Anolis sagrei: one gene and its partner. Each later gene encodes a partner of the first gene's protein in a complex. Links are inferred from orthologs where the notes say so. Each region holds a gene or a part of one and is shown in the gene's direction. Other genes may lie near its edges. The genes, in order: ZBTB8OS and FAM98B.

Evidence for each region.
Region 2: ZBTB8OS (region 1) and FAM98B share a complex: the UniProt entries of both Homo sapiens proteins name them as parts of the tRNA-splicing ligase complex. The link is inferred for Anolis sagrei from reciprocal best matches to the Homo sapiens genes ZBTB8OS and FAM98B.

What each region holds. Positions count from the first base shown.
Region 1 is NC_090034.1:83,665,223-83,669,146, reverse strand, and holds the start of ZBTB8OS (protein archease), read left to right. Parts: upstream 1-1,563; 5' UTR 1,564-1,695; coding exon 1,696-1,804; intron 1,805-3,924. UniProt on the Homo sapiens protein: Component of the tRNA-splicing ligase complex required to facilitate the enzymatic turnover of catalytic subunit RTCB. Together with DDX1, acts by facilitating the guanylylation of RTCB, a key intermediate step in tRNA ligation.
Region 2 is NC_090021.1:292,584,843-292,588,766, reverse strand, and holds the start of FAM98B (protein FAM98B), read left to right. Parts: upstream 1-1,135; 5' UTR 1,136-1,207; coding exon 1,208-1,245; intron 1,246-3,924. UniProt on the Homo sapiens protein: Positively stimulates PRMT1-induced protein arginine dimethylated arginine methylation.

The sequences.
Region 1 (3,924 bases):
TGGCAGGGGACGGCTAGTATATGCATATATATCTATGGACAATCACATTCATAGAGTCACAATGGAGGACCAAAAGATTCCTAGAGAGAAGATTTTTAATCTGAAATCCTCAAATCCACAGAGTCCCAATGGAGGACCTGGACATTCCTAGAGAGACTGTTTTCAATCAAATCCGGGAATATTGAAATCCATAGAGTCTCAAAGAAGGACCTATGGGTCCCTAGAGGGAAAGCCTAGGAACATGTTCTAGAGGCATTTCTCCTGACGTTTCGCCTGCATCTGTGGCAAGCATCCTCAGAGGTAGTGAGGTCTGTTGGAAATAGGACAATGGGTTTATATATCTGTGGAATGGCTGGGGTGGGGCAAGGAGCTCTTTCCTGCTGCAGTTAGGTGTGAATGTTTCAGCTGATCACCTTCATTAGCATTTGAAGGCCTGCCTGAGCCTGGGAAAACCTTTTGTTGAGAGGTGCTAAAATGTGCCTGGTTGTTTCCTCTCTGCTGTTTTGCTGTTGTAATTTTAGAATTTTTAATACTGGTAGCAGTGCCCAAACACGAATCAAGGAACATGAAAGGCACTGCAGACTACTTCAACCAGAGAAGTCAGCCATAGCAGAGCACCTGATGAACCAGCCTGGACACAGCATATTATTTGAGAACACAGAAATGCTGGACCCAGGCATGTAGCCGGGGGGGGGGGGGGCTTGAGGGGCTTCAGCCCCCCCCCCCCCCGAAATTCTCATGGTGGTTCGTGAAAAGGCCTTACTGGTGCATTATTTAAACTGTTATGTTTATTCATATCATGATCTGATCACCATACTCAATATATCCCATATGCATGGGGGTATTGGGGTAATGATACAAAAGGTTTGCTAGGCTAGACCCTCTTTCACTCAGACTCAGCCCCCCCCCGAAACTCAGCCCCCTCCCCGAACCCCCCCCTGAAATTTTTTTAGCCCCCCCCCCCTCCCGAAACAAAATCCTGGCTACGGGCCTGGTTGGATCACACCAACAACCACCATGTCAGACTACACAGAGAAGCCACTGAAATCCACAAGCATGTGGACAATTTCAACAGAAAGGAGGAGACCATGAAAATGAACAAAATCTGGCTACCAGTATTAAAAAACTCTAAAATTACAACAGCAAAAGAGCAGAGAGGAAACAACCAGGCACATCTTAACACCTCTCAACAAAAGATTCCTCCAGGCTCAGCCAGGCCTTCAAATGCTAATGAAGGTGGTCACCTGAAACATTCACACCTAGCTCCAGTAGAGAAGAGCTCTTTGCCCCACCCCAGTCATTCCACAGATATATAAACCCATTGTCCTAATTCCAACAGACCTCACTACCTCTGAGGATGCTTGCCATAGATGCAGGCGAAACGTCAGGAGAAATGCCTCTAGAACATGGCCCTTTAGCCCGAAAAAACCCACAAGAACCTAGTGATTCCAGCCATGAAAGCCTTCGACAATACAAAGCCTAGGAAGTTTGAATAATAATCAAACTTGCTAGGTGCCCCCTTGCGTCAAAACCTGCTACTGTCTCTTTAAGAGGCAACCAGGAAGAGGCCCTGCTTTGCCGCCTGGCCTGGACCTGAGCAGAGTGGAGGCAGAGAGAGGCTGCCGGCCGTGCCCTCCACCTCTTCCCATTCCTTCTCCCTAAACAACCATTGATTTGACTTAATTTTAACTTAGAATGGCTCTCAGTGAAGCTACGGAGCTGGACAATTACCGGGATTACAATTTAACCGAGGACCAGAAGCTCATTAAAGCGAAATATGCGCCTATTTCGAAGAAGTACGAATGTGAGTCTTTTCCCATCTATTTGAAAAGGATTTCATTCCTGATTTATGAATAAGGTGCCAAGAAATGCAGGCTGGGGTTGATCTATAATCAAATCTATCTATCTATTTCTCTTGCTTTCTCTCTCTTTCAAAGGAGGCTCAACGCAGCCAAACACAAACAATCACACAATGTTTAAACCTAAAGCATAACACTAAAATGGAATTAAATATGGGACTTATTTGAAGCCAGTGAAATTATTAAAACAACTAGCCATCCCCTGCCACACACAGAGTCTGTGTATAAGTGTTTTGTGTGTGTATATGTGTCTATATATCTATCTATATATAAATGCTCTGTGCATAATGAGTACCTTAAAAACAAAAGAACCAATGAACGAAATTACACCAAAATTGGCAACAAAATGTTTCACATCACAAGGAGTGAACATAAATAAAAAATTATGATTTTGTCATTTGGGAGTTGTAGTTGCTGGGATTTATAGTTCACCTATAATCAAAGAGCATTCTGAACTCCACCAACAATGGAATTGAACCAAACTTGGCACACAGGACTCCCACGACTAACAGAAAATACTGAAAGGGTGTGGTGGGCATTGACCTTGGATTTTGGAATTGTAGTTCACCTCCATCCAGAGAATACTGAGGACTCAAACAATGATGGATCTGGACCAAACTTGACAGGAATACTCAATATGCCCAAATGTGAACACAGATGGCGTTTGGGGGGAATAGACCTTGACATTTGGGAGTTGTAGTTACTAGGATGTATAGTTCACCTACAATCAAAGAGCATTCCAAACCCCACCAATAATGGAATTCGGCTAAACATCCCACACAGAACCCCATGACCAACAGAAAACTCTGTGTTTTCTGGTGGTCTTTGGTGACCATTCTGACACCCCCCTGGTGAACCCCCCTCCCTGGGGTCTTGACTTTCCAGGTTGAGAAATGCTGCCACACAGTCCAACTCCCTTCACCAGGGCAAGAAAACATAATCAAAGCCTTCTTGACAAAGGGCCATCCAGCCATTCACACACACACACACACACACGTATATGATAGATGCAAAAAAATATATTACAACACATGCGCAAACACACATATAAACAAATATATACACATATATGCATATATACACACACAAAACACATACACACAGAAAGTGGGAAGGAAGGAAGGAAGAAGGGAAAGAGGGAAAGAAGGAGTGAAGGAGAGAAGGAAGGAAAGAAAGATAGAAAAGGAAGGAGAGAAGGAAATAAAAAAGTGAAAGAAGGAAAGAAAGAGGGAAGGAAGGAGGGAAAGAGAGAGGGAAGGTTGGCCACAGCAACGCGTGGCGGGTACAGCTAGTGTGTCTATATATTTGTGTATGTGTGTCTGTGTTTGTATGTGTATATGTGGTTTTGTGCATGCTTTGTAATGTATTATTGTTTTGCTTTTAAGTCTCTTCTGCTGTGTTTGCCAGTGTTTTATGAGTGATGGTGACTTGTTGTCTTTATAGGTGTATTGTGTCCAAATTTGGTGTCAAAACATCCAGTGGTTTTTGAGTTATGTCAATCCCACAAACAAGCATTACATTTTTATTTATATACATTTCTTTAAAACCTGTTAAATATGGACATAACTTGACTCCAAGGGAAAGAATAGGAAAGTTGGAAATAGTTTTGTGAGAGGCTATTATTATTATTATTATTATTATTATTATTATTTGATACATAACAAGATTAGTACACAGCAAACAAGATCACTGTGCTGGCTGTTGTATTGGATCACACATCAGACACTACCCAAGTGTCTAGGACCCTGATGTATCACCGAATAATGTGTGTAGATTCAAGTAGGGTGGCCTTTTGCAGCAGACAGATGGTAATTTTGTCAGTGTTGATTGTTTTTAAATGCAGGCCAAGGTTTTTAGGCACTGCACCCAGTGTGCCGATCACCATTGGGACCACTTTGACTGCTTGTGCCAGAGTCTTTGCAGTTCTGTCTTTAAATCCTCATATCGTGTCAGCTTTTCCAGTTGCTTCTCGTCAATCCTGCTATTGCCTGGGATTGCAACATTGACGATCCATACTTGTTATTATTATTATTAGCAATATTTGTATTTTATTTATTGATTTATT
Region 2 (3,924 bases), on another chromosome or scaffold:
TGATTTGGAAGAGAGCTCGTGTGCCATCCAGTCCAACCCCCTGCCAAGAAGCAGAAAAACTGCATTCAAAACACACCGACAGATGGCCATCCAGCCTCTGCTTAAAAGCCTCCAAAGAAGGAGCCTCCACCACACTCCAGAGCAGAGAGTTCCACTGCTGAACAGCTCTCACAGTCAAGAAGTTCTTCCTAATGTTCAGATGGAATCTCCTTTTTTGTATTTTGAAGCCATTGTTCCTCATCCTAGTCTCCAGGGCAACAGAAAACAAGCCTGCTCCCTCCTCCCTATGACTTCCTTTCACATATTTGTACATGGCTGTCATGTCTCCTCTCAGCCTTCTCTTCTTCAGGCTAAACATGCCCAGCTCTTTAAGCCTCTCCTCATGGGGCATGCTCTCCAGACCCTTGATCATTTAAGTCCAGTCCAACCCCCTCTCAAGAAGCAGAAAAATTGCATTCAAAGCACACTGACAGATGGCCATCCAGCCTCTGCTTAAAAGCCTCCACCACACTCCGGAGCAGAGAGTTCCACTGCTGAACACCAGCTCTCACAGTCAAGAAGTTCAGGTTCAGGTGGAATCTCCTTTCCTGTAGTCTGAAGCCATTGTTCTGCGTCCTAATCTCCAGGGCAGCAGAAAACAAGCCTGCTCCCTCCTCCTTATGACTTCCTCTCACGTATTTATACATGGCTATCATGTCTCCTCTCAGCCTTCTCTTCTTCAGGCTAAACATGCGCAGCTCTTTAAGCCTCTCCTCATGGGGCATGTTCTCCAGACCCTGGATCATTTAAGTCGACCTTCTCTTGACACATTCCATCTCCCTTTAATTGCGATGCTCAAATGAATAGGATTAAAACTTTAAAAAAAACAGATTTAGAGAAAAATATGTAAAAATATATGTTTAGAGTGAATGCAGCTACACCAAGCTTGGGCAAACTTCGGCTCTCCAGGTGTTTTGGACTTCAACTCCCACAATTCCTAACAGCCTACCGGAGTTGAAGTCCAAAACACCTGGAGGGCCGAAGTTTGCCCATGCCTGGAAATGGTGCGCATAGGCTGCTTTGTTTTCCAAAAGCCGGAACCCAAAGGCCGGGGAGCGGCGCGCGGTCGGCGTAGCTTGAGTGTGACACCCATCCGCCTGCGCGAGGGCCGGGGGACGGAGATCGCGGTGGGACCGGCCAGTTGAAGCACTTGGCGCAGGATCTGAAAATGGAGTGTGATGTGCTGGACGCGCTGGAGGCTCTGGGGTGAGACTTGCCTTACTATATGTCCTATGAATATCCCTCTTCAGTTTTCCTCCTCGATCAGGAAGAACTCTTCCCTGGCTCACACGTTGCTTGAGTTTTCAAAGGCTCGTTTTAAATTCTATACTGATGGTTTTAATATGCTTTGGCCTTATATAGTCCTTTAAACTGATTAATGTGTTACAGTACGTTGCTGTCCCCCCGCCATGCAGAGAAGCAGGTCGGAAATAACAATAATTCATTTAATCCAGTGGTTCCCAACCTTTGGTCCTCCAGGTGTTTTGGGAGTGATCCTGGACTCATCACTGAGCCTGGAAGCCCAGGTTTTGGCAGTGATCAGGGGAGCATTTGCACAGTTAAAGCTTGTGCGCCAACTGCGCCCGTACCTTGGGAAGCTCTGGTTACATCCCGTATAGATTACTGCAACGCACTCTACATGGGGTTGCCCTTGAAGACTGCTCGGAAGCTTCAAATGGGCTGGAGTGCAGCAGCCAGATTACTAACAGGAGCAGTGTTCAGGGAGCATACAACTCCGCTGTTGCGTCAGCTCTACTGGCTGCCAATTTTCTACCAGGCATAATTCAAAGTGCTTGTTTTAACCTATAAAACCCTAAACAGTGCCGGCCCAACTTATCTATTATTATTATTATTATTATTATTACTATTATTAACTTTATTTGTACCCCGCTAGCATCTCCCGAAGGACTCGATGCGGCTTACAAAGGCCAAGGCCTCAAAACACAACATAACAATACAACACCTAAAGCAAATTAAAAACAGTTAAAGCATATTAAACAACAAGCAATAAACAATACAACAAAAACACTATAAAACTGGGCCAGGCCAGAGTAATGTGTACAAGGTTAAAAGTGCTGATGTGACAGGTGGTATGTAAGGATTATAGGGTAAGTGCAGTGTGCGGTAGTCTCAATTCTAGTAAAGTGCTTCTGGGACTTGTTGTTGGAGATTCCTATTCTGGAAAGGCACATCGGAACAGCCAGATCTTCAAGTTCTTTCTAAAGACTGCCAATGTAGGGGCCTGTCTAAGAACTTTGGGGAGGGCGTTCCAGAGTCGGGGGACCACCACAGAAAAGGCCCTGTCTCGTGTCCCCACCAAACGCGCTTGCGAAGCAGGTGGGATCACGAGCAGGGCCTCTCCAGATGAAGAATGCATCTCTCCCTATGAACCCTCCAGGAACTTGAAATCGTCTGAGGAGGCCCTGCTCTCAATCCCGCCTGATTCACAAGCACGTTTGCCGGGAACGAGAGACAGGGCCTTCTCTGTGGTGGCCCCTCGGCTGTGAAACTCCCTGCCTAGGGATATTAGATCAGCCCCCTCCCTTCTGACCTTTTGAAAAAGAGTGAAAACTTTACTCTTTGAGCAAGCGTTTGGAACCACAGCATGACCAGACAAACTCAAATCGGAAAATGAACTAGAATGTCTAAGACAGGGGTCCTCAAACTAAGGCCCGGGGGCTGGATACAGCCCTCCAAGGTCATTTACCCGGCCCTCGCTCAGGGTCAACCTAAGTCTGAAATGACTTGAAAACACACAACAACAACAACAACAACAACAACAACAATCCTATCTCATCAGCCAAAAGTAGGCCTACACTTCCCATTGAAATACTAATAAACTCACATTTGTTAAAATTGTTCTTCATTTTAATTATTGTATTGTTTTAAGTGTCTTTTGCACTACAAATAAGATATGTGCAGTGTGCATAGGAATTCATTCATATATTTTTTCAAATTATAATCCGGCCCTCCAACAGTTTGAGGGACTGTGACCTGGCCCTCTGTTTAAAAAGTTTGAGGACCTCTGGTCTAAGACGATGGAACGGTTGAAGATTTGAACCAGAAGACATCGTTTTTATAATTTTTATTCTTCACTGCTTTTAATTGTTTTTAAATGTATTGTGATGTTTTTGCTTTTTATTGATGTATTTTTATACAGGGCATCTAATTGCTGCCAACTTCTACACCGCCCTGAGTCGCCTTTGCGCTGATATGGGCGGGATACAAATGTTGTAAATAAATTTCAGCTCCCACAATTCCTAACAGCTGGTAAGCTGGCTGGGATTTCTGGGAGTTGAAGTCCAAATAACTGGAGCACCAAAGGTTGGGGACTTTTGATGTAATGTGATAGGAATACTAAGAGGTCAGGCCCTCATAAGTAAAGTGTATGTACACCAGTCAGGGGCAAACTTAGGCCCTCCAGGTGTTTTGGACTTCAACTCCCACAATTCCTAACAGCCAGTTTTAGGACGTGTGACAGCAACTACTAATATTTGGTTTTAAATGTTTTAACCTTTATTATGCATGTTTTTAACCACATTAAACCACCTTGGGCCCTTAAGTGGGGAAAGGCAGGGTATAAATTTCTTAAATAAATCAAATAAATACTTGACTTCCCAATTGACTTCCCAATTGTATCTTTCGTGTGGGAATAATGTACTCCTCCACATGTTTCTTGAACTGCAACTCCTATCAGCCACAATAGCCAATGAGGAGGAGTGCAGCCTATCAATTTCTGGAGAGCCATGTGATTATCTAGAACAGTGGTTCTCAACCTGTGTGTCCCTAGATGTTTTGGCCTTCAACTCCCAGAAATCCTAACAGCTGGTAAACTGGCTGGGATTTCTGGGAGTAGTAGGCCAAAACACAGGTTGAGAAGCACTG